Linked DNA regions of Saccharomyces cerevisiae S288C. Changing the gene in region 4 together with the main gene of any one other region gives a genetic interaction. Each region holds a gene or a part of one and is shown on either strand. Other genes may lie near its edges. The genes, in order: STE50, DOT6, VRP1 and PKH3.

The links.
Region 1: mutations in PKH3 (region 4) and STE50 together harm fitness more than expected from each alone (negative genetic interaction), as found in Saccharomyces cerevisiae (4 studies listed by BioGRID).
Region 2: mutations in PKH3 (region 4) and DOT6 together harm fitness more than expected from each alone (negative genetic interaction), as found in Saccharomyces cerevisiae (2 studies listed by BioGRID).
Region 3: mutations in PKH3 (region 4) and VRP1 together harm fitness less than expected from each alone (positive genetic interaction), as found in Saccharomyces cerevisiae (2 studies listed by BioGRID).

What each region holds. Positions count from the first base shown.
Region 1 is NC_001135.5:59,404-66,635, reverse strand, and holds STE50 (Ste50p), read right to left. Parts: upstream 3,196-7,232; coding exon 2,155-3,195; downstream 1-2,154. Other genes in the region: HIS4 (trifunctional histidinol dehydrogenase/phosphoribosyl-AMP cyclohydrolase/phosphoribosyl-ATP diphosphatase), read left to right, coding at 1-702; RRP7 (Rrp7p), read left to right, coding at 1,068-1,961; MXR2 (peptide-methionine (R)-S-oxide reductase), read left to right, coding at 3,354-3,860; LSB5 (Lsb5p), read right to left, coding at 3,914-4,978; dithiol glutaredoxin GRX1, read left to right, coding at 5,463-5,795; GFD2 (Gfd2p), read right to left, coding at 5,910-7,232.
Region 2 is NC_001137.3:332,676-340,604, forward strand, and holds DOT6 (Dot6p), read right to left. Parts: upstream 2,514-7,929; coding exon 501-2,513; downstream 1-500. Other genes in the region: Arf family guanine nucleotide exchange factor SBH1, read right to left, coding at 1-155; type 2C protein phosphatase PTC2, read right to left, coding at 3,271-4,665; anthranilate synthase TRP2, read left to right, coding at 5,274-6,797; MET6 (5-methyltetrahydropteroyltriglutamate-homocysteine S-methyltransferase), read right to left, coding at 7,189-7,929. UniProt on the Saccharomyces cerevisiae protein: Component of the RPD3 histone deacetylase complex RPD3C(L) responsible for the deacetylation of lysine residues on the N-terminal part of the core histones (H2A, H2B, H3 and H4).
Region 3 is NC_001144.5:800,582-808,979, forward strand, and holds VRP1 (Vrp1p), read right to left. Parts: upstream 4,526-8,398; coding exon 2,072-4,525; downstream 1-2,071. Other genes in the region: SGD1 (Sgd1p), read right to left, coding at 1-1,815; 60S ribosomal protein uL10 RPP0, read left to right, coding at 5,306-6,244; SPO77 (Spo77p), read left to right, coding at 6,804-8,237. UniProt on the Saccharomyces cerevisiae protein: Involved in cytoskeletal organization and cellular growth. May exert its effects on the cytoskeleton directly, or indirectly via proline-binding proteins (e.g. profilin) or proteins possessing SH3 domains.
Region 4 is NC_001136.10:1,389,890-1,398,471, reverse strand, and holds PKH3 (protein kinase PKH3), read right to left. Parts: upstream 3,352-8,582; coding exon 655-3,351; downstream 1-654. Other genes in the region: TLG1 (Tlg1p), read left to right, coding at 1-446; RMT2 (protein-arginine N5-methyltransferase), read left to right, coding at 3,898-5,136; SPP41 (Spp41p), read right to left, coding at 5,293-8,582. UniProt on the Saccharomyces cerevisiae protein: Serine/threonine-protein kinase which may phosphorylate the same targets substrates as PKH1 and PKH2, 2 upstream activators of PKC1.

The DNA.
Region 1 (7,232 bases), on a different chromosome or scaffold from region 4:
CCAGGTAATCAATTTGTGACTGCCGCCAAAATGTATGTTCAAAATGACACTCAAGCTCTATGTTCCATTGATATGCCAGCTGGCCCAAGTGAAGTTTTGGTTATTGCCGATGAAGATGCCGATGTGGATTTTGTTGCAAGTGATTTGCTATCGCAAGCTGAACACGGTATTGACTCCCAAGTTATCCTTGTTGGTGTTAACTTGAGCGAAAAGAAAATTCAAGAGATTCAAGATGCTGTCCACAATCAAGCTTTACAACTGCCACGTGTGGATATTGTTCGTAAATGTATTGCTCACAGTACGATCGTTCTTTGTGACGGTTACGAAGAAGCCCTTGAAATGTCCAACCAATATGCACCAGAACATTTGATTCTACAAATCGCCAATGCTAACGATTATGTTAAATTGGTTGACAATGCAGGGTCCGTATTTGTGGGTGCTTACACTCCAGAATCGTGCGGTGACTATTCAAGTGGTACTAACCATACATTACCAACCTATGGTTACGCTAGGCAGTACAGTGGTGCCAACACTGCAACCTTCCAAAAGTTTATCACTGCCCAAAACATTACCCCTGAAGGTTTAGAAAACATCGGTAGAGCTGTTATGTGCGTTGCCAAGAAGGAGGGTCTAGACGGTCACAGAAACGCTGTGAAAATCAGAATGAGTAAGCTTGGGTTGATCCCAAAGGATTTCCAGTAGATTATTTCTAACTTGGAAACCGAACACTAACGAAAATAATATGTATATATACATATATATATCAAACAAAATACAGTCTTGAATGAATAGAGATACACTATGTAATGAATGGTAACGTAAAAATTGTAATTTTGGATTAAAAGAGAGGTAGTAGCAAGAGTGGGTATCAAATAGCGATTAATAAATGAATATCCTTATTGTCATCACTTCGAACGACGTAAGTTAAATTGGAAAATTTTTCACTTTTTGGTCACCTAAGAAATAAGCAGGAAAAAGAAGAGAACATTGAGAGGATGGTAAAGCAAGAGGCATTTAGGGCGAACGAACTAGGTAACAGATAACAACCTCAGATAGAGTGTTACGGGATGGGTATTGAAGACATTAGCGCCATGAAGAACGGGTTTATAGTGGTGCCGTTCAAATTACCGGATCACAAGGCACTACCCAAAAGCCAGGAAGCTTCGTTGCATTTCATGTTTGCTAAAAGACACCAGAGTTCAAATTCCAACGAGTCTGACTGTTTGTTTTTGGTCAACCTTCCATTATTATCTAACATAGAGCACATGAAGAAATTTGTCGGGCAGCTCTGTGGGAAATACGATACAGTATCGCATGTAGAGGAACTACTATATAACGATGAATTTGGATTACATGAAGTAGATTTATCGGCATTGACCTCCGATCTGATGTCCTCCACTGACGTCAACGAGAAGAGATACACACCAAGAAACACGGCGCTATTAAAATTTGTTGATGCTGCAAGTATAAATAACTGCTGGAATGCTTTGAAAAAATACTCGAATTTGCATGCCAAACATCCAAATGAACTATTTGAATGGACATATACGACTCCATCATTCACAACTTTTGTTAACTTCTACAAACCACTGGATATTGATTATTTGAAAGAAGATATTCATACACATATGGCAATTTTTGAACAGCGTGAAGCTCAAGCACAAGAGGATGTTCAAAGTTCTATAGTGGATGAGGATGGATTCACATTAGTTGTAGGAAAGAACACCAAGTCATTGAATTCCATAAGAAAGAAAATATTAAACAAAAATCCATTATCCAAACATGAAAATAAGGCCAAGCCAATTTCAAATATAGATAAAAAGGCAAAGAAAGATTTCTATAGATTTCAGGTCAGAGAACGTAAAAAACAGGAGATCAATCAACTGTTAAGTAAATTTAAGGAAGATCAAGAAAGAATCAAGGTAATGAAAGCTAAGAGAAAATTCAATCCATACACTTAAACCACCATCCTCGTCATCATATTCAACATATCTCAATATATCTATAAAACTAATAATATAATATAACATAATATAGTATAATAGTATAAGTTTAAAGGCATCAATAATTTTTTTCTTTCATATATATTCTGCTAGCATACATGTTATCCTATTCGTGTAAGTTTAGTATGATGATGTGCATGACAACTGCACATTAGAGTCTTCCACCGGGGGTGACATTGTCACTTCCGTTCATCATTGCTACTTCTTCGAAATCACCTCTTCTTCTTAACATAATGGCGGGGTGCAAACCCTGTTGCTTTAAGTTCTTGAATATGATCACAGGCTTTTCGTTCAATTCTAACAGCCTCTCTTGATCCCCATAGCAAATGACCAAGACATATTGTCTCCAATCCTGATCTGCTAAGTTATGTCTTTTCATTGCGTTTTTCAAGATCCGTTCGCAGGAGTCTTCTTTAGATGCACGCAACTGTTTTAACGCCTCGTTAGGTGATGGCCCCGGTGTGTTCGCTGTTGAAACGGCAGATGGGTGAGATTGGTTTGTAGATATTTGGGGTACTTTGTTTTTGCTATCCTTGTGCAAAGATTTTGAGTGGGAAAGACTGGGTTGCCTAAATACCGTTACCGGGGATTCTCTCCTTGACGGTGATTGTCGGTTATGAACTGTGTCGAAATAGTCTGTTTGTGAAAGAGACACACCGTCACTACTGGGTATAATTGTGTTGTTTGAAGAAGGTACCGTAGTGGACACTCCATGTGTGTTAATCGGAGAAGAGCTTGAGCTGGTCTTCATTACGTCCAAGACATCCATCCTCAGCCTTGTGTACTGCGATTGAAATTCTTGCAATTTCGCAGATGTAGTAGTGTACAAGTTTTTCAGTACCGTTATCATGTCCTCTTGAGTCTTGTCGTCCTTCCACTCCAACTTGCTGTCTCTCATCTTATTGATCAGTATCTTGAATTTTATGGCCTTATTCAAATCACCGTCACACAAGTCCTGGCAATCTTGCAAGCACAATTCCGGCAAAAGATCTCCTACAATATCATTTTCTCGCAGTCTCTGACATAATGGATCGGTTTCTTCCACCTCCAGCGTGGATATACACCAAGTTATCACATCATCAACCGACCACTGGGAAAAGTCTTCATTATTCATCAATATTGTGCCATTCACGTCCAGATCCGGCGAAGCATCGTTTGATCCCTCATTGATGGCCTGTTTACCGTCCTCCATCTGATTTGCTATCTCTGCTAGTACGACCTCTGTCTTTTCGAGTCCTTCGACCTAGCTTCTTTGTTATAATTAGCGATAGTATTTTTCAGCTTTGCCTATTGGGAAATATGTCGCCGATGATAGTTTAAATAAAGGGAGAAAGGAAGCAATATCAAAAAATGAATAAGTGGAGCAGGCTGTACGTTATAACTGTACGCAGGACTTTTCCAGGGAGAAGAAACATTGTACTGACGCAGTACTGGAATAAGAGCAAGAAAATGAGTGACGAATCGAATGACGTGAAGTGGAACGATGCCCTGACACCATTGCAGCTGATGGTGCTGAGAGATAAGGCCACTGAAAGGCCCAACACCGGTGCGTATTTACACACCAACGAGTCCGGTGTCTACCATTGTGCCAACTGCGACAGACCGTTGTATTCGAGCAAGGCCAAGTTCGACGCTCGTTGTGGATGGCCCGCATTCTACGAAGAGGTATCCCCTGGAGCCATCACATATCATCGTGACAATTCTTTAATGCCTGCGAGGGTGGAGATATGTTGTGCAAGGTGTGGTGGACACTTGGGACATGTGTTTGAAGGTGAAGGCTGGAAACAGTTGCTAAACTTGCCCAAGGACACCAGACACTGTGTGAACAGTGCGTCTTTAAACCTCAAGAAGGATTAAATGTACTATATATATATATATATATATGTGTGTATGCATACGTACATACTTCTTCAAATTTTGTTATGATCACCGAAAGGGTTTGAGATCGTGGACGGCTGATAAGAAGACAAGCTCTCTTCCTCTGAGGACTCGCTATCAATATACCTGCTGTTATCCTGCTCGTTTTCATCATAAATACCGTCATCGTACGAGCCGTGATCACTTTCATCGCTGCTATCGTCCTGAGCGCTTCGGTCGTCGTATGCAGTCAACGCAGCCACCAGTTCATCATTGGCATGAATTAAGCTACCCAGAAACTCACCCTCCGTGACCAATTGCAGATATCTAAGAACTTTCCTTCTGATCGCCCTTGCCTGGATGAACTTGGACGTGGCCTCTTCATCGTCTGTGGAGAACTTGCCCTTGGGCAGCCCGATCAGCGAGTTCTGTAACGACACAGCAGACGCGAGAGCATCGCTGATTATGAGCCGAATCCTGGGTGCCTCTTTGTTCATGTTGATCTGTGGAATCCTATACAATCTATCGGCACTAGTCAGCGAGTTGGACTGGTACAAAGTGTCGTCGGCGCTATCATCCATGAAGTTAGACCGTCCGCCAGAGCCTCCGCCGCTACGGCGGGAACGGCTGCTCTTCGAGTACCTCTGTTTGACTGTTTGACCCAATTGATAAAGACCTGAATACGCCCTCGCATTCTCAAGGTTGTTCTGCGTAATATAGTTTAGCCACGAGATAGCATACGCCGCGCACTTCTTAATAATCCTAGGCTCATACTTTTCACCGGACCCGCTGTTTTCAGAGTTCGTAGCCATCCCTCTCAGCCTTTGCAGCAGCTTGTCATCATTGTACATGACTGTAAACTTCACGCCTTGTGAGATGAACAGATCCAAGAGGTCCAGAGTCCTGGACTGCTGCAGCCGGTTCCCATACTTTATTTTCTTTCTAAGTGCTCGCGCAGCTTCTTCTTGGTTCACGGTATAGTTATAATCGTTGTGATCTGCTTTGATAAGCTGAATCAAGGGAGCTAACTCCACTTCTAGCGTATAGTCCCTTGAAGAGACAATTCGAAAGATCGTCTCGGTGATAGCTGTATGCGGATGATCCGAAAGAAACCCCATGTTCTTGTTTTGCCTGCCTCCAATGCTTTATCACTCTCTCACACTGTCACAATCGTGTTGTCTTCATCCTTAGAAAGGATACCACATTGATAAACAACATATATAAAGTTTAACTATTACCTTGATCACTTTACACGTCAAGGTCAAAACAGTTTCATAGTTATCACCTTGAAGTATGGCTCCATCATCTATAAAACATGAACTTCATGCACAAGTGAGCTGTCTACAGATAACGAGCAGCCGCAACGGCGTTTCCAGATTGCGATGCTTGTTTTCTTTATCTACTACTGCCTTACTACCCCCCTTGCGCCTCCTGATTCACGTGATGTGGGAATTTTGTCTTGAAAGGAGTAAATATATAAAATAAATGAAAAGTTTATATAATATAAAAAGGGACTTTAGCATAAAATAAAGAACTTCGTGCAGTACTTATACGAGCATTCGCATAATTATACAAATAGACAAAACCTCAGAAGGAAAAAAAATGGTATCTCAAGAAACTATCAAGCACGTCAAGGACCTTATTGCAGAAAACGAGATCTTCGTCGCATCCAAAACGTACTGTCCATACTGCCATGCAGCCCTAAACACGCTTTTTGAAAAGTTAAAGGTTCCCAGGTCCAAAGTTCTGGTTTTGCAATTGAATGACATGAAGGAAGGCGCAGACATTCAGGCTGCGTTATATGAGATTAATGGCCAAAGAACCGTGCCAAACATCTATATTAATGGTAAACATATTGGAGGCAACGACGACTTGCAGGAATTGAGGGAGACTGGTGAATTGGAGGAATTGTTAGAACCTATTCTTGCAAATTAAGGGCAGACAAAGTTTTTTCCATGCACACAGGTTTATAATGAGCTTATATATATGTATATGTATATGTATACAAGCATGTGTTTGTATTTACAGGAAAAAAATCGATGAATATATTTAGTGTGTCGGAAGAGTGCTTGTGAAGGCGTCTTTAGCAGTTCCGAAATACGTTAACCCACCGAATTCCGTTTGGCAGACTCTTTCCTTCCTACTGCTCTTGACGCCCTTGCGGTACGTCCGATTTTTGACTGCCTCCTCGATGGAGATGGCATACGACATGGGCACCACTTTAGGCTCTCGTACGTCTCGTTCTCCCCAAACTTTTACTTGGCCCATTACTTTAAGAACATCGTCCATGCCGCTTATTTTCCTGAAATTAACATCGCAAAACTTCATGAACAAATGCAGGGTATAGTAGGCATCGTTACCGGCATTGTGTAGAAACGCATGCGGTATCTCGAACAACCGCAGAATCTTGCCCAGACTGCTGCCCTTTTCGCCATACGATTTCCTGTAAAACTGCTCAGTGTCCAAGATGAACACGTCTAGATCACCGGGAGTTTCAGCCAAAAGCAGCGTATGGTCCAGATGGCCTTCATACCCTCTGCCAGGGAATTTGACACCAATAGTCTCCAGCCACTTAAGATCCCCGCTCACGTGATGACCAACAAATGCCCTTGACCATGTCTTGTCTTCTTCGGTCACCGGGACCAAGTAATAGTTTATTAGTGATTGAATGAAATGCACGCACTCTTTCAAGCTCAAAACATAGCTTTCTCCCAATAAGTAGCAATCCTTGTAGTCACAGACCCATTTTTGGTTTCTAAGTTCCAGGGACTCCTCGATAATTAGGTGGTAATTCTTTGTAATTGGAACCATTGACGGCACCATATTTTCCCTGGGGTCATAAATTGAAATCCCAATTTCGGTGATTACGTTCTGGTTTGTTTCGAAAGCCTCTATATCAAGACAAAAGCATATTGCTCTCTGAGAGGCCATCAGCCTGATGCATTTCTCCAGATAAGCAAATTCATTCGAGCGTGAATGTGCTTCCACCATGGGCCAGAACGTCTTCCTCACGCTGTTTTTCTCGTCAGCCAGTAGTTTCTGTTCTGTCTCTAGGAGCTTGATGGTACCATTCATTCCTAACATTTTCTTCTGAATGGCTTCGAACCAAGCGGTGTCGCTCATTCCTTTGGGCTGCGGACAGATACAGTTGGCTCGGTCCTCTTTGGTCAATGGAGACAGCCGCTGTGATCTTTTGGACCTGGGTGGTACGATCGTGTCGCTTAATCTTTTCAAAAACCGGCGTTCTTCCACGAGTTTTTCCAGTTTTGCATGCACATCACCATGTACCATATGCCATTCACTGTCCACCTGCGCCAGTTTGGCTTCCAATTGCGCCCTGGATTGTCCATAGGAGGCATCAAACTTCTGCCT
Region 2 (7,929 bases), on a different chromosome or scaffold from region 4:
ACTCTTAGTCCCGTAGCCTCATCAGAATAAATCTTCAAAATCGAATTATTGCTGTTCGTGTTTTTCTTTGGAGCGGATGCCGCAACTTTTTGTGAACTTCCCTGTTTTCTCTTTTGCAAAGTACGTTGACCACCTGGAGGAGTTGGGCTTGACATTATGGAGTATGGTAGGAGGTAGAGTGTGGTGTTTTGAAGTGGTGGTTGAAATCTTTTCCCTTCATCAAAAGGCTACCGTGTATTAAAATAAAAACACGATTTTTTATGATGCTTTCCTTTTCCAATGTGAAAAGTTCAGGGTAACGTTGTTTGCGTTCCACGAAAAAAAATAGTTGAAGCGGAAATGAAGAATGGATGAATACGTCATATAAACCAAAGAAACTTTTATACTTTTAAATATGCTAAACTATAGAAATTTAATGAACAAGCCCGCTAAATTCACATTTTTCTTTTTGTTGTTGATATTTTTTTATTTTTATTTTTTTTTCATTTTAAGTTTTCCCCTCACAGCATATCCTTGAAGATAGTGTTTATGCTTGGCAGCGGACTGTTGTTTGTGGTAGTAGTTGTAGAACTAGAGTGGTTTATCATGTTATTGGTGGTTTCGGTAGTGATGGATGTAGTTGTGGAAGAAGGCTTCGGTCTCGGAGTAATGGCTTCAGAACGAAAGTTGTTTAACAAAGCAATATCTTGCGGGTTTTTGGAATTAGGGGTGCGATTCATGGTTGCAGCCGAGGAGCTGGTATCGGAGGTTATGGTGCACCTAGAACCAGCATCAGAAGTATTCGATGAATCATCTGCGGGATCCGGTGAAAAGATCGGATCCGGTGAAACGTCTTTGGAGGATATGTTGGAACTGCTGGATGAAAAGACAGTCTTGTTACTGGATTGTTTAGCACGGTGCAGCGGGTCTACATTATCTTCGTCATCATCGTTACTACCATCACCCATAACGTCCTCTTTGTCGCTACCTTTGTCATCATCAGTGGTAGAACCACTTTTGAACATTCTTGGACAAGTTTTCTTGGACAGAGTTTTTTGAGGTGAATGTGTAGGAGACAACATATCCGCATCACTTGACAAGGCGTTTAATCTCCATTGAATTTCCACCTCAGTTCTCTGCGGCAAAAGAATGGATAGTTCCATAACGGATAGGTTTCTCTTTTTGTTTTCCATTAGCAAAGCGTCTTCATCTTTTGACCATAGATTAGTCGGATTACACGATGACTTCATAGAATGGCCAGAAAACGAACCTCGTTTAGACTTATGCAAAGTGGATGACGATGACACCGATGAAGAATGTGGGAGATCCATAAAGGTATAAGAGTTGGGGAAAATGGGCCCGTTGTTGGAGGTAGGACCTCCACTGTTACTTAAGTTGTTTAATCTTTGCTGAAATTCCTTCTTGATGACAGATTCCCTTCTTGAGTTGGTATTAGAAGTAGAAGCAGTGTTACTGCCGCTATTGTTGACATTGAATATGTTTGACACGGAATTTGGTGCAAGAATCATTGAAGACCGTCTTGAAGTGTTGTTACTTGAAACATTAAACGATGATCTTCTGGACCAATTCGCAAGCGAGCCCCTTCTTGACTTTGAGCTTAGTAAGACATGCGAAGAGTTTGGAGAAGACGGAGTAGTGGTTATTGCTACCTGTTGTGGATAGGCAAACGAACTTCTTCTGGATCTAACGAATACTTTAGGAATGAATCCATACTTCTCCTCATCATTAGACCGAACGATGGGGTCTTGGTTCAAAGAATTGGTGAAGGAGTGAGAGTTTGACCTTGGCTTTAGAGTCTTATGATGGGGATGGTGGTGTAGGTGTTGATGAGGATGATGAGGGAGTGCGGCCGGCAGCGTGGGAGGAGCGAACGGCATGGAAGAAGCAGCGTTTGAGACAATCGTAGTGGGAGTCACATTGGACGGAGATTGAGAAAATGACATCGATGCGTGAAACGAAGGCAACGAGGTCTTTCTGGAGGGAATCGGGATGGATGACGTTGTAGTGAACTCAGCAGTATCTTCCGTTAATACGTTTTCTTCTACCTTCTTGCTGGGCTTTTGCTGAGCGTTGGCAGTCTCATCGCCGTGGGTGATCTTGAGTGGGCCCGTATAGGTGTTGATGTCGATCAAAGCAGTCTTGTTCGACTTCAAGTTACCAGACTTCAACCTTCTCCATCTGAACTGACACGCGTTAGGAGTCCTGTTTGGGAAGTATTGCGAAATATCCTTCCAGCCCATTTTCTTGACCTCCTTTAAATGACGTAGCAGCAGATCATCTTGAGGGTCCCAAGAGGAAGGGTTCTTGCTCGAATTCTTGGAAGACGCAGATGCCGATGCCGAAGTCGACGATGAAGAGGAAGCTGGCAGAGAGGGCGAAGATTCCTGGGCTTCGTTCTTGGACATAGCTGTTGACGACGAGTGTGGCTGACGAGTGAGTGAGTGTAGCTGAGGATGGGTGTCCATGCTGCTCAAATGAATGGAAGCTGAGTTCAAACTGGTTGAAATGGACATCACGGAGCAGAGAAGGGAGGGAAGACTGGAACGTGCACGGAAGCTATTCGATGAGGTCGGATGAACTGACTGTGAAAAGGAGGAAACACGGATAAATATACTACAAAAGAGAGAAAAAATACAACAAGATACCAAACAGGACGAAAGAGAGAAGAAATAGAGAAGATGCAAAGAAAAGAACACTTTTCAAAACCTGTCCCTGTTTTTGTTGTACTCGGTTTTTTTCCTTTTTAAACTGTGTGCACTTTCTGATTCCGTCTTGTCGAGGCTGTCGGAGAAAAGAGTAGCACACACGACGATAACAATAGATACGGTAGATTGGATGGGGCACAGATGTGCAAGGCAATGCGCGAATCCTGTCTACGATGTCTGTACCGTCCATCCTTTCTCCTTTGCATCGGAAACATCCGCGCTGTCTACCTTAGGAGGACCTCATGGGACGGGCGCTGGGGACTCGTGCCCATCCGGGACTGGGGGTGAGATTTCACAACGGGGCCGCTGCTGGTCTCACCCTCTGGCCGGGCCGGTCCGTTTTTGTGGCGTCGCTGCAGGTAAACGCGCAGTTTCTGCGCGTTTACCCCTGAGGTGAATACCATCTTCAAGCGTCAAACTGCATCCGGATATCCTGCTGTTGGTAGCGATGGTGGTGGTAGTGGTGTATGCTCTTGGTTCTGGTGGTGTCTTGCGTCTTCTCTTCTCTTTCTGTTCGTTCGGTTCGTATATAGGTATGTATATATAATGAAGGATGGAAGATCCTTCATTGCAAGTGGGAACGGCCGGCCTTGTGGTCAGTGTTACTGTCATTCTCGGGATGGGAGGAAGCCGGGTCATGGCCCATGGTTTGGAGCAGTTGGGCCAAGGCAGACTGGGGAAGAGTGTAGGTGACTTTGTTCCCGTTGCTGTCTGTCTTCACTCCTCCTGTAGCACCAAGTAGCGCCTCCAAGGATGCTAGATCAATGGGGCCGGAGGTCTTGCTCTTGGATTGGCTGGAAGGGTCAAGATTTTCTGCATCTGTGTCAGCGTCCGTGTCGTCTATGTCCATTGGATCGTCGTTATCGGCGGCAGTCACCGAGGCCACAGCGGCTTCGTGGTCGCGAGTGAATTTGTCCTGAGGTTTCTTCGTAGTGATAGCGAACACCTGTTCGTCGTTACATTTGGAAAAATCGTAGTAACTAAACACCCTTCTTCTCTTGTCTGCAAAAGAACGCACTGATGTGCGGTGGGCCTTGGACTTCATACGGTCGCTCCATTGAGCGACGTCTTCACCTTCTTTCAGCAGCGCGACAACCACTATACTCATGTTGTCGCATCCAATACCCGTCCCCTCTGTGGTGGGAGCACAACAGACATCGATGATCCGCGAAGAAATTTCATTCAATGTCTTGCCTTCGCGAAGGCCGAGATGAACCAAGTCCACACAATCTTGGGAAGTCAAACAATCCCAGATACCATCACAGGCTAAGATTACAAACTCGTCCCTATCGTAATCTAGAGAATGCTCGAGAATGTCCGGAACACATGTCACTATTTGCTCCTCGGGGCCCAATTTGGGGTTGGATTTGAACTCAAAATCACCAATGGCACGAGAGAGCGCCAAGTTACCGTTGACCCTATCCATTTCTACGAAGCCATCAGCTGCCACAATACGTGATTTTTCGCTTGCTAGAGTGGGCTTGTGATCGTATGATAATGCCTTTGCGTTCCCGTCGGTGGCGAGTACGGTTCTACTGTCACCAGCGTTACCACATACTAACAAGTTCTGGGACTTTGATACTAATATGGATGTAGCCGTACATCCGCTATGGTCTTCTTTCATCACAGGATCTTGTAACAGTTTCACGTCTGTGTTTATGAAAGTATCAATCAAAGCCCTTGGTAAATTTCCTTCATGGAACGATTTCTGCTCTTGCAGGATCTCCACTATTTTATTACCACAGTATTCTGCTACTTTAGCGCCACCATGACCATCGAATATACCGTAAAATGCAATATGGTCCTTATCGGACTTTGTCAAAACATTAGGCTCTAGAATGTGTGAATCCTCCATTGACATCCGCCACCCTTGCATTGCACACAGTCCAAACGCGGTCAAGGAGTCAGCACCGGAGTGGCTCTCTTTATCAATTACCGGGTTTGATAGAATTTGTCCCATTTTTCTTTTTCTGGTTCTCTATATTTTATACAACAATGGAATAGTCAAAATCCTAGGGATGTTATTAATCGGAAAACTACTATCTCGAACGAATAGTTATAATTAATCAATGAAAAAAAAAAAGAGAAAGTAAAAAATGTTACAACAACTAATATACACTAATTGTCCTTGATAACAGAACTTGTTGTAGTTTTATTCCGTGGGGAGGAGGGTGAATTTTTTTTATTTAGTTTTAAAGAACAAAACAGAAGTCTATATACTTAGCACTATAATATCCAGTTTCAATTTGCTCTGTCAGAATCCGAATTGGCTGGTTTTCTTTGTTTTACCATCCCCTTCCATTTATCAGCATGATATTTTTTTTTTTAGAATAATCCTTTCAATCGTTGAAGTAGTTTGTGGGAAAAAAAAAGTTGTTAAAGGCATTAACGTACACAGTGATTTGCTGACTCATTACGATTTTTCACTCATCGAAGTATTGTTAGATTTTGATATATTAACATGACTAAAGGGCTATGGTCCATCGTAGCAGAAGGCAATCATCACTTTAAAACCGAGGCCACAATCGATAATTAGCACTGATATTCTGATTGGAAAAAAGGCAAAAAATGACCGCTTCCATCAAAATTCAACCGGATATTGACTCTCTAAAGCAATTACAGCAGCAAAATGACGATAGTTCCATAAATATGTATCCCGTGTATGCGTATTTGCCATCATTGGATCTGACTCCTCACGTGGCATATCTAAAATTGGCACAATTGAACAACCCTGATAGAAAGGAATCATTTCTGTTGGAAAGTGCTAAGACAAATAATGAATTAGATCGTTATTCATTCATAGGTATCTCGCCACGCAAGACCATCAAAACCGGTCCTACTGAAGGCATTGAAACAGATCCTTTGGAAATTTTGGAAAAGGAGATGTCTACCTTTAAAGTAGCCGAAAATGTTCCTGGTTTACCGAAATTAAGTGGTGGTGCTATTGGTTATATTTCTTATGACTGTGTTCGTTATTTCGAGCCAAAAACAAGAAGGCCTTTGAAAGATGTCCTAAGACTTCCAGAGGCATATTTAATGCTTTGTGATACCATTATTGCCTTTGATAATGTTTTTCAGAGATTTCAAATCATTCATAACATTAATACCAATGAAACTTCGTTGGAGGAAGGTTACCAAGCTGCAGCACAAATAATCACTGATATCGTATCAAAGCTAACCGACGATTCCTCGCCAATACCATATCCAGAACAACCTCCTATTAAATTGAATCAAACTTTTGAATCGAATGTGGGCAAGGAAGGTTACGAAAATCACGTCTCCACTTTGAAGAAGCATATTAAGAAAGGTGATATTATTCAAGGTGTGCCATCGCAAAGAGTGGCAAGGCCAACTTCGTTACATCCTTTCAATATTTACAGACATTTACGTACAGTGAACCCATCTCCTTACCTGTTTTATATTGATTGTTTGGATTTCCAAATCATTGGTGCATCTCCAGAATTGTTGTGCAAATCGGATTCCAAAAATAGAGTCATTACCCATCCAATTGCTGGTACTGTCAAACGTGGGGCTACTACTGAAGAGGATGATGCTTTAGCGGACCAATTACGTGGCTCGTTAAAAGACCGTGCAGAACATGTTATGCTGGTAGATTTAGCAAGAAACGATATTAACAGAATTTGTGACCCATTAACAACAAGTGTCGATAAACTGTTAACTATTCAAAAATTTTCTCATGTCCAACATCTGGTTTCTCAAGTCAGCGGTGTTCTCCGCCCAGAAAAGACAAGATTTGATGCATTCAGATCGATTTTCCCTGCAGGTACTGTCAGTGGTGCTCCAAAGGTTAGAGCCATGGAATTGATTGCCGAACTAGAAGGAGAAAGGCGTGGGGTTTATGCAGGCGCCGTAGGTCATTGGTCATACGACGGTAAAACAATGGACAATTGTATCGCTTTAAGGACTATGGTCTATAAAGATGGCATTGCTTACTTGCAAGCTGGCGGTGGTATTGTTTACGATTCAGATGAGTACGATGAATATGTCGAAACCATGAATAAAATGATGGCCAATCACAGTACTATTGTGCAAGCAGAAGAATTGTGGGCCGATATCGTAGGATCAGCTTAAAAAGGGCATTCTCTGTTTTTTTCCCCTTAGACGACATTTTTATAGTTTTCGAATAATATGATATAATGATGTATAGCAGGATCCTGAAAAGTATTATTCTTTCGACATATACATTTGGTCCGACTTACAACCAAAAAATTTTTGTTCAAAAAATATAGGAAATTTTAGAAAACGAATGTTGAATGCGTTATAAATAATACAGAATGTACGTGTATATAAAAATATAATAAAAAAAATGCAAGAGTTATGGCTTTGTAATAAAATTGATATCAAAAAATTACCCAAATAAACTTTTAAATGTGAACACAAAAATTAAATCACCGATGTTGAATCCCAGAATAAAAAACAAAAAGTTCAGAAAATATCATTACTTTGCTTCCTTTTTAAAACCTTAATTCTTGTATTGTTCACGGAAGTACTTGGCGGCTTCGACCATATGAGTCAAAGACAATCTAGTTTCTTCCCAGCCTCTAGTCTTCAAACCACAATCTGGGTTAACCCAGAACTTTTCAGCTGGGTAGCTCTTCAAGATGGTTGAAATCTTGGCGATAAATTCATCCTTTGATGGAATTCTTGGAGAATGAATATCGAATAAACCTAGACCAATGTGGTTTGGATAGTTTTTGAATTCAGCAATGTAGTTAGCATCGTCCTTCTTAGAGAATTCGATGGAAACAACATCAGCATCCAAAGCCTTGATATGGTTTGGATCCAAGTCAGAGTAACAGAAATGAGAGTGTATTTGAGTCTTGTTAGCAACACCAGAAGTAGCAACTCTGAAAGCTTCGGCAGCCCAGGTGTAGTAAGCAGATCTCTCAGTACCTTCTCTCAATGGTAAACCTTCTCTTAAAGCTGGTTCATCAACTTGGATAACCTTGATACCGGCAGCTTCCAAATCATTGACTTCATCTCTCAAAGCCAAAGCTAATTGCATAGCTTGAGTTTTTTGGTCGACATCGTCTCTTGGGAAAGACCATCTCAAACAGGTAATTGGACCAGTCAACATACCCTTTACTGGCTTAGAAGTGATGGATTGAGCGTAAACAGATTCCTTGACGGACATAGCCTTTGGTCTGGACAAGTCACCAACAATAATTGGTGGTCTGACATATCTGGAACCGTAAGATTGAAC
Region 3 (8,398 bases), on a different chromosome or scaffold from region 4:
GATCGAAACTTCAAAAGCATTTTCCATGTTTCCTCGCCAAGAAGCACCAACCAGCCACCATTTCCCCTTGGAATCAATGTTTTTAATGTCTTCCAGAGAAACCTGTAAAGGCTCCCAAGAAGAAGAAGAATTCAAAATGCTTTGCAAGTTTTTCTTTAATGGATGATGATCAGTCGCCAAAATAGAAGGCTTTAACCTGTTGTTTTTCAAGTCAGACATGGTATCCATTAAAAATCTCAATCTTGGGCTCTGCTCTTTTAAATTCTTGGCGTTCTTCAACAGTTCTGATCGTATATCTCTCAGGGCGGATGGATCATCACCCCGGATCAGTTGTCCTGAAATCGATATAATTCGTAAAAGTAACTCAGTAGTGAATTCATTAGGATCTGCTACAAATATTCGAATAATGTCATAGATTAAGCGACACGAAACAAATCCAAAATTATAACAATACGATAGTAAGGTTGCAATATTGATGCATATTTTAGAGGAAATTTTGCTCTGCTGATCCTTTAATATATTTTCCATTTCCTCTTCGTAATGATGCAGAAATGCCTCTACCGTTTTTTGAATGAAAAAAGCACCCACCTCAATACCTCTTAGTTTTGATAATGTATACGCAAGAGCAGCATAATTCATTATAAATCCGTCCAACAACTTCTGATTTTGGCTTATAATATTCAATATCCCTTTCGTTAACGATTCTGTAACGTACTGCCTAGGCAGGGAATCATACAATCTGTTTAAATCAGTGATAATAATAGTAATATTGGAGTCTGAAAGCTTATTCAAAGAGGAGTTGACCTTCTTGCTAATTTCAGACAAAGTACTATTGTTTTCACTATCATCCAATTTCTTTCTCAGTGATGGGGGAACATAGCTCTCTACAGATTGTGTGGGAGCTACATAGGGATTTTCCTTTTCTCTTCTATAATTATCATCCGAGTCCGCAACGCTGTCGTTATCAGATTCACTAAGCCCATCTGAGTCTTCAAAATCAGAAGCTGAAAGATCATCATCCGAGGAAAATGCTTTCTCGCTTGCTTCATCATCTTTTCTCATAGAATTAGTTTCTGTGGCAAAATCTCCATACTCTTCGTCACTTTTGCCATAATTTTCAAAGTATTCCAAACCTTCAAGAAGTCCACCAATAGCATCAAATTCATCTTTTGCATGTATAGCCTTCCTTTCTCCTTTCAAGCCCAACTTTTTTGCGTAATATTGCATGTCCATCTCGTCCCTTTCAAACGCTGATCTGTCTGAAGGGGCCAGCGGATAACTCACAAAATTCTCATTTGTATCTCTGTTACGAATATGTTTCTTTTCATATGAGTTACCTTTTATTTCTCCCGAGTTTTCAGCTCCTTGTATACCCTTTGCTTTCCGTTTCAATGATTCTAGTTTTTTCATTGTTTCTTCCGCAGACATTGCCTGCTCACCGCTTTCTTCTGCTACTTCATCAGTAAGCACTTCGTCACTATCCCAGTTTTCATTACTTTCTGATTCATCTGAAGAAATCGGATTTTTACCGTTAGCCTGCTTGCCTACGTTTTTCACACCTGCATTAGCACTCCTCTTTTCGGACGTTGGTGCTGATTTTAGCCGGCTGGAATTGATTTCTCTAGTTGATATAATTTTACGTTTCTTGTCGGCCCGTTCCATCTTTCTCTTTTCTTTACGGCTTAAATGTTTGCCATTTCCTCGTCTTCTCTTTTTTCCTTCTGAAATAGAAAACCTTTCATCTTGACTGTAGTCAAGAGTCTTCAACTCGTCCAAAATAACGCCTGGAATTCTAATACCATCTGTTTTTTGCATTGCCTCAATATTCTGCAGCTGTGGACTGGCTATCTTTAGTTAAGATGAGGCTTCGTAAGTAAGTTCAGTAGTCTTGTAAGCTCATCGCATTTTTTTTTTTTTGCTGGATTTTATATTTTTCACAGCGAAAAGGACGGGAAGCTAAAAGATTAAAAAATAAATATTGCAGATACCATATGTAATTTAGTAAAATATTTTTATAAAATATTATTATTTTCTTGTTCTTCAGTGATTTATTGTAACCATGGAGAAATGCTCACGTAAATAATGTTAAGTCCAATGGCACACTACTACCCTTTCCACTTGGATACAGTTTTGTTTTATTTTGAAAGGGACGTGGCTTAGGCATTTGTGACACATTAGTCCATTTAAATCTTGAATCATCTATAACAATTCTTTCATTTCCAGATTTGGCCCCAACGATAGAATTCGATCCCCCTATCGTATACCTACCTACATCAACATCTGGTTGATTTGTATGCGTATTATGCTTGTGTTGCAGCGTCGATCCACCTGTAGAAAATAACCGTTGTTTAAGGTTTTTACTGGGGCTATTAGAGGTACCGGTATCCATCGTAGATGGACTTGGTGGTGGGGGTGGCGACTTAGTGGGGTTCTTCGAAATTGATTCAGTTTCGGTACGAACGGAAAGTGTAGGCGCAACAGGAGGAGGTGATGGTATTGATGTAGACACGGATTGCTGAGGCAGACTTGGTGCACTAAATGTTGGCAATGGCGGAGCAGCTGCAACAGGAGGAGAAGGAGGTTTTTCGAGATTCGAGGAGGGAAGAACATCGTGTAATAAAGAAGCGGCGGGGACATTATTCTTGCTATCATCTGATAAAACTGGTGGAACTGGTGGAGGTGGAACGTGTCCAGGCAGTGCAGGGGCCTTTGCTTTTTTCATCCCTAACACAGTCTCACTCTTATCATTGGTGTGGTCATCACCTGATGCAGTTGGAGTCGGTAGCGATGTTATAGGAGGAGGAGGTGCACTAGGAGGCAAAGGAGGCGCCATAGCATCCGTATGGGGGGGTGGTGCGTTAAAAGCATTCGATGATGTTTGCTTATGTAATTTGGATTCAATTTCATCCAGAAACGACATACCATTTTGGCTACTCTGTTTAGGCGGGTTTATAGATGGAGAAATAGGAGAAGGTCTTACGTTATCATCCTTAGATGAACCTATTACATCCTCTTGTTTATCTTGGGTAGTGTATCCAGTATCACCACCAACCACGAATCTATCATCTCTCTTCTTTTGGATCTCAGCAAGAAATGGTAAGGGTCCCCCAGGTGTTACGGCCGAGGAAGAACTGGATGAAGATATTTTGGATTGCTTACTGGACGCTGAGGGTTTGTTTGTCGTGAGTGTTGGAGGAGGAGGAGGAGCCGATGGTACTGACGTTGCAACCGAAGGAGGAGGAGGAGGTGGTAGTGGTGCTAAAGGAATAGATGATGCTGACAAGGCAGAGGATGTTGAAAAAGCACCAGGTGGTGGGGGAGGAGGAGGTGGTGGCGCGGGCATTGACGATGCTTTGTTAGGAGGAACTGATGTAGTATTTGGTAACGGTGGTGCTAAAGTTGGGGGAACCGGGGTTGCTTTTACGCTGTTAGTCGACGCAGAGCTCATGGCTGCTGGTAGTGGTGGTGGAGGCGGAGCTGGAGCTGAAGTTGCTTTTTTAGGTGCAGAGGTCACATTTGGTAACGATGGTGGAGGTGGTGCAGTAGGCGGTAATGGCGGAGCATGTGATGTAGGAATGGGCGGAGCAGATGATGGAAGTGGTGGTTGTGAAGGAGATTTATGATTTTCGGTTTGAATCTTTGTGGAAGAAACGCCCTCGACGGCTCCTCGTTCAGACCTCCTGGCATTAATTTCTGCCAAAAATGGCAACCCGCCTGCAGGAACTTCAGAAGATGGTGGTGAGACTGCGTTATCTGTAGGTTTAATGTTTTTTGAGTCCAGGCCAATTGTTGGAGTTGGGGGAGGGGGTGGAGCTTGTGGAGGGTTGCTAACATGTGTTGGCAGAGACGCTGAAGGCAAAGGGGGTGCTGACACACTAGGAAGAGAAATATTAGAGCTTTTTCTTTGGTGGCTTCTGTGTGCTGGCCTTACTGAAGGCATATGCGGTCTATTTTGCGGTACCTTTGGAGCAGAGGCACCTGATAATGGAAGCGGTGGTGCTGGAGATGATGGTACAATGGGAATAGGAGGGGCCGCAGAAGATGGAATATCAGGAATTGGAGGTGCAGAAGACGAGGGAATACTAGGAACAGCGGGTGCTGGTGATAATGGTGCATTAGGAATGGGGGGAGCCGCAACAGATGGCACCGCGCCCGGAATTGGCGGTGCGCTCGCCGATGGAGAGGGTTTAGTGCTTGCATTGTTATTGATATGTTTTAACTTCGGTATACCTCCAGCTAAAATATCGCCCAACTGCGGAGCGCCCATCCCAGGGATTGGAGGAGCTGACATAGAGGGTCCTTTACTACTGACGGTACCAGAACTTCCTGAGGCCGATGAAACGACACCACCTCCCACGATTGGGGCACTTCTATCATTGGTCTCAGCTTTCTTTAGTTTCATTCCCTTTCTAATGTCACCTAACAGGGCGTCACGGCCCTGCATCACAGATTTTGCCGGTTTAGGAGCACTACCACCTAATGCTGGTGGAGGCGGTGGAGGAGGAGGAGCTGGAGCACCTGCCATTTCAACAATTCGTTATATATATGGTAGGCTTCTTCAACAAACGGTTGTGCGCTTTTTAGTCGTATGCTTTGTCTCATATCAAAAACTTTCTTCATAAGTTTATAATTTTAGATTTTGTTCAAGTATTTACTGACTGTGCGGATTATTCTTAAGGCCCCTATTTGAGGACGGCGGCCGCACCCGTAAGCAGTGACTAGGTTATGAACATTTCATTCTTTCTAAAGACGCTTTTAGCAAGCTTCATACAGGATAGTAGGATTTGAAGGCTAACATTGTGATTCCATCCTCTGTCAATGTTTCGTAACTTGAATATTTGCGACTTTTTCCATCTTTTGTGAGCTAAAATTTTTATCTTGCCCTTGTAATTTGAACTTAAAAGAGAATACAGCAATGTAGCGGACAAACCGAACATTGAAATTACCATTTTAATTGTAACTTATCTTGAAGGAGTTCCATACCGTATGTTATCAAGATACTTCTCAGGGCAATATCTACATTTACATATTTGCCTGCTTAACATCCGAACATTTCACATTTTGATTATTTCGAGAAAAAAGTCAAAAAATTTCTCAAAGAAAAAAGAAGTAATGCCGAACTGAGAGTGAATGCATCACATCGTTGCGAAAAACTGGTAAAAAATGACTTCAAGTTATAAGTAAATGAAAGATTAACAATATCTAATTCTCGATTCTTTTTTCAAGTTTCAGCCATAAGATACATAAGCGGAATACCTTTAAACATCCTGCAAACAGTCTAATAAATACGTATAATAAGTTTGAAATGGGAGGCATTCGTGAAAAGAAAGCTGAATACTTTGCTAAATTAAGAGAATACTTGGAAGAATACAAGTCTTTGTTCGTTGTTGGTGTTGACAATGTTTCTTCCCAACAAATGCACGAAGTCAGAAAGGAATTGAGAGGCAGAGCTGTCGTCTTGATGGGTAAGAACACCATGGTTAGAAGAGCCATCAGAGGTTTCTTATCCGACTTGCCAGACTTCGAAAAGTTGTTGCCTTTTGTCAAAGGTAACGTTGGTTTCGTTTTCACTAACGAACCATTGACTGAAATCAAGAACGTTATTGTCTCTAACAGAGTTGCTGCTCCAGCCAGAGCTGGTGCCGTTGCTCCAGAAGACATCTGGGTTAGAGCCGTCAACACTGGTATGGAACCAGGTAAGACTTCTTTCTTCCAAGCTTTGGGTGTCCCAACCAAGATTGCCAGAGGTACCATTGAAATTGTTTCTGATGTCAAGGTCGTTGACGCCGGTAACAAGGTCGGTCAATCTGAAGCTTCCTTGTTGAACTTGTTGAACATCTCTCCATTCACTTTCGGTTTGACTGTTGTTCAAGTTTACGACAACGGTCAAGTGTTCCCATCTTCTATCTTGGATATCACCGATGAAGAATTGGTTTCTCACTTCGTTTCCGCTGTCAGCACCATTGCTTCTATCTCTTTGGCTATTGGTTACCCAACCTTGCCATCTGTCGGTCACACTTTGATCAACAACTACAAGGACTTGTTAGCTGTTGCCATTGCTGCTTCCTACCACTACCCTGAAATTGAAGATTTGGTTGACAGAATTGAAAACCCAGAAAAGTACGCTGCTGCTGCTCCAGCTGCTACCTCCGCTGCTTCCGGTGACGCTGCTCCAGCTGAAGAAGCTGCTGCTGAAGAAGAAGAAGAATCTGATGACGACATGGGTTTCGGTTTATTCGATTAAGAAGTGCAACATGAATTATTAAGTTAATTTCATATATACTATTTTATAATTAAATAACATTAATCCTCATTGATTCATTTTATTCATGATAATGTACTGTCCGGTTCCTTGCGCTAGCCTGAGTTAGTCTCCGAATACCTGGCGATTTTCATATATTCTGAGCGGCTCTGGACACCTAACTGGATAAAAATACTTCCACTTAATGTAGTTTGGTTTTCTAGTTCATACGGACTATTTCAAAGTTCATGATTTGATGAGAGAAAGTAGCTATACTATCTTCCCAATTTACGCTTGTCTCTGAACAAAGGTTTTTATCCTTTATATGCTTATTGAAATACTGAGAATACCAAAAGTTGTCTTTTTCTCTACTATCGCTTGATTCTTTCAAGACGTCGGATATAAGAAATGTCACAAAATCAAAAATAGCTGCGAGGAAATAATGAAGAAAAGTAAAAGACGAAACTACTGCTTCGATGAGAGGTGAGCAGAAGCTCCCATAAAAAAAAAAACCTATCTTGCAGTATTTCTATGTTCCTTAAGAGATCAATAGAAGTAGAATATGTTTCGAAGGGGAGATAATTCAAATTTTAACGTACAAAATAGCTTCTTTCTTCCTTTGGAATACGAATATACCGTAAAAGATAATGTACCTTCAAAAAAAAAGAGTAGTATAGGTTTTTTTCCATTAGATGATTCTTTATTCACATCAAAAAACAATTCAGGGCACCATAAAAGCGAACAGCTCCATCGCGGTAATGCAGAAACTATCAGAAGCCAGTTTGGAACTGACGCAGTTCCGATAAGGATCGATGAGAAAGAAGGAAAGTGGGATAGAATTCAAGATGATAATTCTTCTAATTTAAACTACCAAATTAACAACAGTAATGACCCAGCTTCGAGTGGTAAATATACCCAGAGTATTGACTGTAACCATATAGCGGAGTCAAAATTTTCAAAAAAAAATGGAAACATTGATAGTCTTCGTTCAAACTCAGCAACTTTTATGCTAAATACTGCAGATGAAGACGTGATAGAATTTAGTTTTGACGATAATGTCCCTTATGCTGAGTTATTATCTGGTGCCACCCTTGAAAAATGTTCGTTGACTCTAAATGAAATAAACAAAAAACTATTCAATACGCTCTATGACTTTCGAGTAAGCAAAGATAATCCCGAAGAAAATTTGGTAGAACTAATACTTCCGAACTGCGTGGTGTTATTAAACTTTTTTGAAGACATTGAACTCTTGGCCGACTCTTCTGATGAGGCTTTCGAAAAATCTACTTTCATTAACACAATTGAGTTCATTGTGCACGATATTTGGGTCGAAACGTTGATAAAGAACATAAACTTATTACAAATGTTTGATGCAGATTTGAAATGCTACAATGACAAGTACATAATTTGCAAGCTAAAGGGTCAGTATCCCTCCACAAATATAGTGGACATAATGTGCCGTTTGAAGCATTTTTCCAATTCTATTTTGGAAACTTTCAAATTCGGAATCGAGCTAAAAGAACAAGATCAATGCCACAATAGAAACACTATTATCAACTACGTTCTTTTCAGTAGAGTATTTTCAACGATTGTTTTAGAGATTCAAAAATGCTTTATCTTGATCGTTAAGTTCATGTATTCTGTCAATTTTTTAGAAAAATTTTCCGATGAAGTATTTTTGTCATTTATTGAAATTCTCATAAAAATTGTCTTTGAGCACCAGATTCCGCAGTTATTTTTGGGAATTGATGAAATTATTCAACTCTGGTTAAAGAACAATGAAGGAAAACGGCAACAACTCTTGAGCGCTTGGTGCAACGGAACTGTTCAAGATATGAAGCAAAGCCAACAAAGAGAGTCCTCAAACGCAGAATCTGAATCAATCACTTCAAGTACAGAAGAGGACGAAGAAGGCCTCCAATTCAATAAATGGGATGTGATTGAACCATTTATTGATAATATCAAGGCTTTGAATCAATCAAAATCCCATATGTGACGCAGCGATAAAACCGCGGCATGCAAACATCTACACAATTAGCAAGGGCAATCCATATTTTGTCTTTTCGCGCCCTGGAAAGGCCTAAGTAATGTCGTAAACGCATTCTATCTGTACTTCAACTCTCCTCTGTGCATTGGTTTGTGCAAATCACATTTTAC
Region 4 (8,582 bases):
TTAAAAATATAAAACAGCAACTTGATGCTCTGAAGTTGCGTTTTGATCGAAGAATACAGGAATCTACTCAAACAACTATTCCTCTAGAAGAGACGGTGGAAAATTCAACACTTAACACCAGCATGGCTGAGAACAATGATGGTGGTATGTCCAATCCGTTTCAGGAACAAATGTTAAGAGAACAAGATGTTCATTTAGATGGTATTCACAAGACAATGCAAAATTTGCATATTCAAGCTCAAACAATGGGGGATGAATTAGAGAACCAGGGACAATTGTTGGATAATATGGACGAGGGTATGGACGGTGTTGTAAATAAGCTGGCTAGAGGTCGTAGGCAATTGGAATGGGTCTACGAAAAAAATAAAGAAAAATACGACGATTGTTGTATAGGACTTCTTATTGTCGTCTTGATAGTTTTATTAGTTTTGGCATTCATTGCTTGAAAAATACAATGCACTAATGCCGAAGAGCTTCAATCGAAGATATACTGGGCATATATAAAATACATGCATTCTGAATACATAAGTGATACGGATATTAATGCTACAAGGGTTTGGATATGATTTATATGTTGGTTTTTCTGGATCGTCAACAACTCGTGCATATTTTTTTGTTTCGAAGTAGAGGAACCACAAATATTATTAAAGCGTGTTATTTTTTTTTCTTACTCTTCTGTAAACTTCTAAATGCTGCTGAGGCACCCCTACTAGCAATTTCCCTATCAAAGTTTGTTTGGCTGTTATTAAGGGTATGTAAGACCTCGTATCTGCTGCTACTGATCACCATGTTAGAAGGAGCAGAATACTTTTCTCTCGTAGTTGGGAATTCCATTTGCGGAAGTGGAGGTGAAGGTGTTGGCTGTCGATATCCTGTTGTTTTGATTTGAGGCTTGGTCGTAGAAGATGAAGGAGAAAATACGGATGATCCCTGCTTCTTCGAAGTTAAAATATTATGCTTATTGTTCCCTACATTAGTAGAAGGCCTATGATTAAAAGCTGGGACCGAACCGTTGGTATATGTATTGGTAGAAGGTGCACTATTTGGTAATCTTCCATTCATTTTTTTCGGAGTTTCACCAGCGTTATTGCTTGACAAAACCCTAGGATGTCTTGAAGAAGGAGTGGAATTTGCACCGGGCCTATCCTTGGTACTACTAGGTATGCGAAAAGGTTTTTCTTCTCCAACATTATCGTTTTGTGGTGCATTGTTCTGGCTTCCATTTTTTGCAGTATAGCTGAGTGTTGTTACATTATTTCCTATACTCAGAGGCCGCTCTTTTCTTGAAATAGGCGGAGGTGATGATGGTTCACTCGATGCCTTACTATCAAAGGAAACGTTACTGATTTTATCAAGAATTTGCTTTTCTTCTAGTAGTTGTCTTGCTCTGAAAAAGCAATCGACCCAATTTTCATTGTTATTTATTGTCGAAGACTTCACGGCATTGAATGGTATTTTGGATAACGTTGAATATGAAGGTAGCGAGATAAACCATATTCTATTCTTATATTTTTCCAGGATTAAAAAACCCTTCCTTGTCAACTCATTGAATTCAAAATCGTACATGGACAAGTCTGTATCTTCTATATTAGCCATCTGGTGTTCTTTGTTTTCTTGATCATCATTTCCCTCCATAACTGTGTTTTTGTAACTTAACATTCCGCTCTTCTTCAAAGTCAATACCTGTAAAAACGACTCTGAGTTTTTTAATTCTTCTTTATGCTGCGCAACTAGTGACGTAATTAAATCATTATCGATCTTATTGTAGCTGTTCAAAGACATAGCAGGCCCTTCGTGTTCATATGGAATGCCATAAATGAAGACGTAGTCTTGTTTTAAAACATGAATATCAATTGAGTTTCTTCCATCTAAAGTGTGTGTTAAGTCCTGGTTCCTTATCTCTGTTGACGGCGCCGATAGAGCTGACGATGCTGACGATGTTGACAACTTTTGTGGTATTGATGATGTTTGCAAAGGTGGCACATTAGGCTTTGTGCGCGGAATTGACTTATTTCTCACGTTGTCATTAATTACCGGTACTTTGGGAGGTATTCTATTTGGTGCAACTAGTTGTGCTCGCTTGACTTGATTGGATTGTGAATTAGGCGGTAAGGCAATATTTGCAGTAGAATGTGCCGCCGTATTTGTTAATACATTGGTATCATTAGGGGCGGTCACTGCAGGCGTAGTGGACGGTACGGTGCCTAAATCATCCTTACCTGTTGATATACCAAGCCTTTTTCTCCATACTACTATGCTACTAGTAGTGTTGGAAATTTTCGTTGGTTTCTTACGTTTTTGTTTTGTGATTTGTATACTTCGTGCTGGAGTGTCAATTACATGTAATTGTCTGGTGGGTAGTATATTCTGCGGTATATTTGGGAGTCCCAAAGTAGTTTGTTGCAGCGATTGTCCTTGTGATTGCCAGATTCCTCTCCATATTTTGATTTTATCATTCCAATCTACTTTTGAAAAATATGGGTGTCTTTTTATCTGTTCGAGAGAGATTCTCTCATTGACCTCTATCACCAATATTTTTTGTACTAAGTTTATTACAAGGGGATTTATTGGTGATGTGCTATTATTGATGCGGTTATTGGGTCCCCATGGATAATCTAATGCTACGATTTTTTCAAATGTCTTCAGCTCATTCTCCCCTCTAAACGGCGGTTGTCCTTGGACAAACTGATATATCATGCAACCTAGTGCCCATATATCTGAGCCATAACCGCATTGGTTGTATAAAAGCAGCTCTGGAGAGACATATTCGGCAGTACCAACAAAGGAAGCGCAATTTTGGTTGTCTTTTGAGCCGTTGCTGTCAGAGTTAAACTTGGCCGAATCTCCGCTTAAACTAGGGTCTATGGTGGCAGCGGCCCCAAAATCAGTAATCATAAGTCTACCATCCCTGTCTAAAAGGACGTTTTCCGGTTTTAAGTCTCTATGAATGATGCCATGTGAATGGATAAATTCTAATGCATCAATTAACTGTGCAGTGAAATGACGCGTCCATATATCATTGAAAGTACCCATTTTGTGCAATAAGGAAAGTAGTTCTCCACCTGGGGCAAAATCCAAAACAAAATAAAGATTTTCCTCATCGTGAAAAGTATAGTATAGTTTGATTATACCCGCGTGATGCTTTTGTGCCAACAAATTCATGGTATTCTTTTCAATGGTGACATATTTTACCTTAGCTTCTTTGATTATGTGTTTCTTCGAACAAACTTTAATGGCATAAATTTTATTCGGGCTTTTTTTATCTAGAGCTTTAAACACAGTAGAGTAAGAGCCATGGCCCAGTTCCTCTTTAAATATGAAATCGTGCGGAGACCTTTTCCTAGACGTCATATGTCATACCAATGTCCCACACCTACTCTTTAAATTTTCACTCAATTGTTTCAGCCTCTGAATAGATAAGACGTGGAAGAACTGCTTACTTGCTTGGGTTAGGCTTTAGGCACTATTATTCTGTTTCCTCACACTTTCAAATCAATGTACCTCTCTTCTGCTGCCTTCATGAAAACCCCTTCGCTACCAAGAAATCACCGCGCGGGTAAGCATGAAAATTGTTTCGATCCATTGTTACCTCAATATGTGACATTAGCTGCGAGTAAGGAAGTTATATTGTTAACACTTTCAGTATCATCTCTAGTCATCAGTACGTGTGCTTGGGGTTGACCAATGCAGATATTTGTTTAGTGTATATAGGATTCGAAGGATTATAACGATTCTTTTCCTTTTTCGGCGAGAATCGATGGCACCTTTCTTTTTCTAAAATTTTTCAAAGCTCATCTCATCTCATTTTAAGCTAAGCGTAAAGCAAAATGACATTGACAATACCCAGCAGTTGCAACGGCTAGGTGTTTACACCAAGGACTTTTAATATATTCAAGTATGTCAGAATTACATGCTTTGCTTACTTTCCCAGAGAGGCCCATTTCTCAAAGTTACTATGTACCAAAACTGCAGCATTTCTTAAAATCTGGTATACCGGCTACATATACTTTGGAGCAGGTCGCAGCCTTCGAGCATGAGGAAAAGAACAGGAACGGGGATAAGGAATTCAGAGAGAGCACTGACGACAATAAAACCTCAAACACAACGCCGTTACACGTTTTAGCAAGATCGCTACCCTTGGATATCAAGGATGAGGAACTGCAAGTGGTGATGGATATGATGAATATTCTTTTTGAGTATGGGGCTGGATGGAATTTTATTGACTACGAGGACAAAACAGTGGGTGATTTGTTTTTAGAGAGAAATCAAAGTAGGGAGAGCCCTCTTTATAGACGGCTCGTGGAAGCTGGTGTGTCTGCTGAATTATTACTGAGAAAACTCAATGGTGGCGACGTCGAATTCTTGGATACAGATGAACTAATAGGTATCGAGCCTGAGGAAAGCGTTCAAACAGCAGTTGATGGTCAAAAAGAAGAATCAGTTGGTAGTGATGACGATGCTACCGCGGCAAATCAACAAGTGTACTTAAAAACAGAACTAGAGTACAAAGACGATGCGCTTATCACAAAGGAAAATAAGGACGGTGTTATGATGGATTGGGAAACCAAGATTATGGAACTTGCTTCCGAAACCTTATTTCCTGATCCAGAGGCCACTAATTCTGCTACGATCTTAAACATTGGATTTGGAATGGGGATCATCGATACATTCATCCAAGCTCGAAAACCATATCGTCACTATATTTGCGAAGCTCATCCAGATGTTTTGGCCAAGATGAAAATGGATGGTTGGTATGAAAAGGATAATGTGGTTATTTTAGAGGGAAGATGGCAAGATACGTTGAATAATTTATTAGACAAAGGTGAAGTTTTCTTTGATGGTATTTATTATGATACATTTAGCGAGCACTACCAAGACATATTGGACTTATACGATGTCGTGGTAGGTTTAATTAAACCAGAAGGCGTTTTCTCATTTTTCAACGGATTAGGCGCTGACAGATCGTTGTGTTACGATGTATATAAAGAAATTGTTGAGATCGATGTTGCTACATATGGTATGAAATGCGATTACACCAGATATTCTCTTGACGAGCAATTGCCAGATTGGAATGATGTTAAGCGGTCTTACTTTAACTGTAACTATTATTACCATCCACGTATCACGTTTGCTTAATTATAGAATAATGTAAATTGCACAATGGCAGGGGCCGATTTCCAATACTAATATTAGTTTCGAAAATCGGAAGAAAAAACTATATACATTTGCTACTTTAAGTATATATGATTATGCAGAAATGGACATATGAACTAAATTATGTCTAGTAACACCTCAGTGTAAAATGCTTTTCTTTCTCTTCTTCTTTGGTTGTAAAGAGGCTAACTTCTCCTCCCTGAACGACTCTTGAATATCTTTTTCAATACAGCGTGCTTTGTTAAGGTTATTCATGTTTACCGCAAGAATATTCAAAATCTCCTTGTCGTCAATCACAATCTTCGTGTTGTTTGCTTGCGTCTCAGTAGTTTCAAGGCGATCCTTGTACTTTTCTTGACTTACCTTTTCTTGAAATCTTTCTTCGATCCATTTAGACTTCGTTTCTGATTCTCCTTCCCCAAAAAATGCGTTCGCACGCTTTTTTAATCTAGACTTTACGTCATATTCCCAGTTCTTGGTGGAGTTCATCTCTCTCCATCTCCGTTTCCTCACATTGTTAATCTCCTTCTTTAGACAACTCAACTCCGCCTCGGTCAATCTAGCCTTGGCAAATTTTAGGACTACACTACGCTTACTTTGTACCTCTTCTGGAGATGGTATATCGAATGTGTAAGTAATGGATTCGCTGTTTGCCTTTCCATCGGCTTCCGGTGCGGTAGTGGCGTCAGCAGAAAGCTTTTTAATGCGGCGGACACGTTTAGCTTTGGTAATACATCTACCCGATGGAGGCACTAGTCCATCCAAATTCAAAACCTGTCTTGGTGTTTTTTTCAGGTATTTTACGTTTTCATCTTCATACTGGTAGTTTTTAACATCAGTGGCTGTGATTTCGGGCAGAATATTAGTGATAGTAGAGGAAAGAATGTCGGTGATATTACTTCCCAAATCAACGGATTCATTCTTTATTTCGGGTATTTTGGTATTTACCAAATTTTGAACTAAATTAATAACGCTAACTTCAGGCTTAATTTGCGGTCTTTTTAAGGGAAATATGATGGGAATTTTTGGTTTTGCTTCATTTAACGGTTTGAGAGAAACATCAATTAATTTGGGCTTTCCTGTTGTCGTGTTTACACTGTCTGGTTCATTACCCGTAAGTTGGGCTGCATCAGAATGCAATGTAGACTTTTCATCTCCATCTTTCTTATCAGACAGGCTCGCATCTTCATTCAAATCTGTAGCAATTTTCTCACCTGGCTTCTTTTTATCCGTTTTTTCGACAGGAGATTCAATTAATATCCTCTTTTCATTTTTTGGATCCCCATTTGTCTTGTCTTCAGTTAGAGTAACTTCCTCAGAAGCCTTGGTACCGACATTCTCCTTAATTTCTTGTACGCTTTGGGTTTCTTTCGCTGTTTCAACATTATTTTCCACAGGTTCTACGCTCTCTGCCCTCTTCGTAAGTTCTAGTTTATCTTGTGATGGTTCTATAGTTGAAACCGCTATACTAACAGGAGGAACATTCGCATCGCTGTCTTCTATTTTAATTGGCGTAGTAACGCCCTTTAAAGTATGCCCAGCGATTGTAGAATTAGAGTGGGGATCGGGCGTGGCTTTATCAGGGGATTCAGAGCTGCTGATTTCTGTTCCTGCACTTCTGGCCGGTAATTGTTTGTCTAATTGTTGTTTCACTCGAGATGTATTGAAAATAGGAATCATTTTCAGCGGATTCTTCATTCGAGACGCAGTTGTTGCCAGTTCTGTGGTAGTTCCCTTAGAATGAGCGGCTTGCATACTGTTTTTCCTTGCTTGTAAAGCTGCCCTAATAACTGTAGACTTGGCATGTTGAATAATGGTTGCCAGCCGTTTCCTTGCCTCCTCAGGTGTGGCGCCAGCAGCTGTTTGCGATTTTGCAGCAGCTTTTAATGTATTTATTATCGGTAGTAATATGGCCGGTAAAATTCTGTTCCTAGTACTTGCCGTACCTTCTTTGGAGACACGAAAAGAATTATTGGTTCTCTTTCTATACTTTTTGATATTTGGTATTTTCTTTCTTCTAGCTACGGGTAGTGCAAATGGTGGTTGAGACGGTATAGTCCATGGGGGATGGAAAGGAATTTTTTCTTTATGCACTACAGTTTTTAGGTGTGCATCGTAATTTTGAGATGCAGATGAATCTGATAGGGGCCATTCGTGATCTTCACTCTTTGGTCTCGAAAGAATCCTGCGGACACCGTCAGGCGATTTATGTAATCCAATAGTGGATAGCGAACCTTCAATGTCATTCAGACGATGTCTTGCACTTGGCTGAACATTACCCTTTACAAAGTTGAAGAGAGGAATTTTCTTCAAAGCAGATGAAGGTACCTTCATTTTCTTTTCCTTTTTCTTTCTTTCCTTTTTCACCTTCCTCGGTTTTTCAGCTTCCTGTGATCGTTTCAGTAGCTCTTCCGGAGTCCATCTTCTGTATGGTTTTTTTGGTTTACCGCTTTTAGTTAGTCTTAAATCTGGGGGATAAGGTGGACCTCGTTCAACAATTTTTTTCAGTTCCTCTTGTTCTTCAGCCAACCTCTGCTTCTCTAGTTTTTTTTTATGTCTCCTTTCCTCTCTGGCAGTTTGGCGTTCAAGTTTCTCTTTCTCCTTTAGTTCTTTGTTTTTAGCCCATCTTTTCTTTCTAGCCACAGATGCAGCCTCGTTGGCAATAGAGACGTATTTTTTGCGTAACTTCTTTTCTAAAGATACTTCTGTCTTGGAAGGTTTCTTCGGTTTTGAAGGTACTTCAGTCAATTCTACACTTGAGGCATCTCTAGATGCCTTTTTGGAAGCTCTCCTAGATATAGCTGTTTTCTTTTCAGATTTGCTCGAACTTTTAGGCACCGATTTCTTTTCCATCCTAGAAAGGTTATCATGCGGCAGTAAATCGGAAACACTCAGATCGCCTAAACCACGATTAAAGTCTTCAACAATGTTCTCATCAAATTCATCGTCGTTTTGATTTTGAAAAACCATAGCCATTGCGTTTTGCATGATTTGATTCAAGTCAAGCGAGTCATCATTAGCTGTGCTTGCATCCTCAGTAGTATATTGACTTTGTACAGGGGAAGTAAAATCACTTTCGCTTTCTAATTTATTATCCTGTGTGGCAGTATGCGTTGATGTTTCTTTTAATGAAGTGTTAACCACTTGGTTAACCATATCGGCTAATATTCTGGAAAATTCATCATCTTCGTAAGCTTCTTGAGATTTATTACTTTCCTTTACAGTTTTCTTCTTTTTCTTTTTCTTGGAGGTAGATTCAGATGCAGGTGATTTATTTGCTGTAGATGCAGCCTTGGATGTCTTACTTTTTGTTTTTTTCTTCTCTTGAGGAGGCCTCTTTTTCGGTTTAAAAGCCTGTAACATAGCCAATGGAATATCGTCTGCAGTCGGTTTTCGTGGTGGTTCAACTGCTTTTCTAGAAGATACAG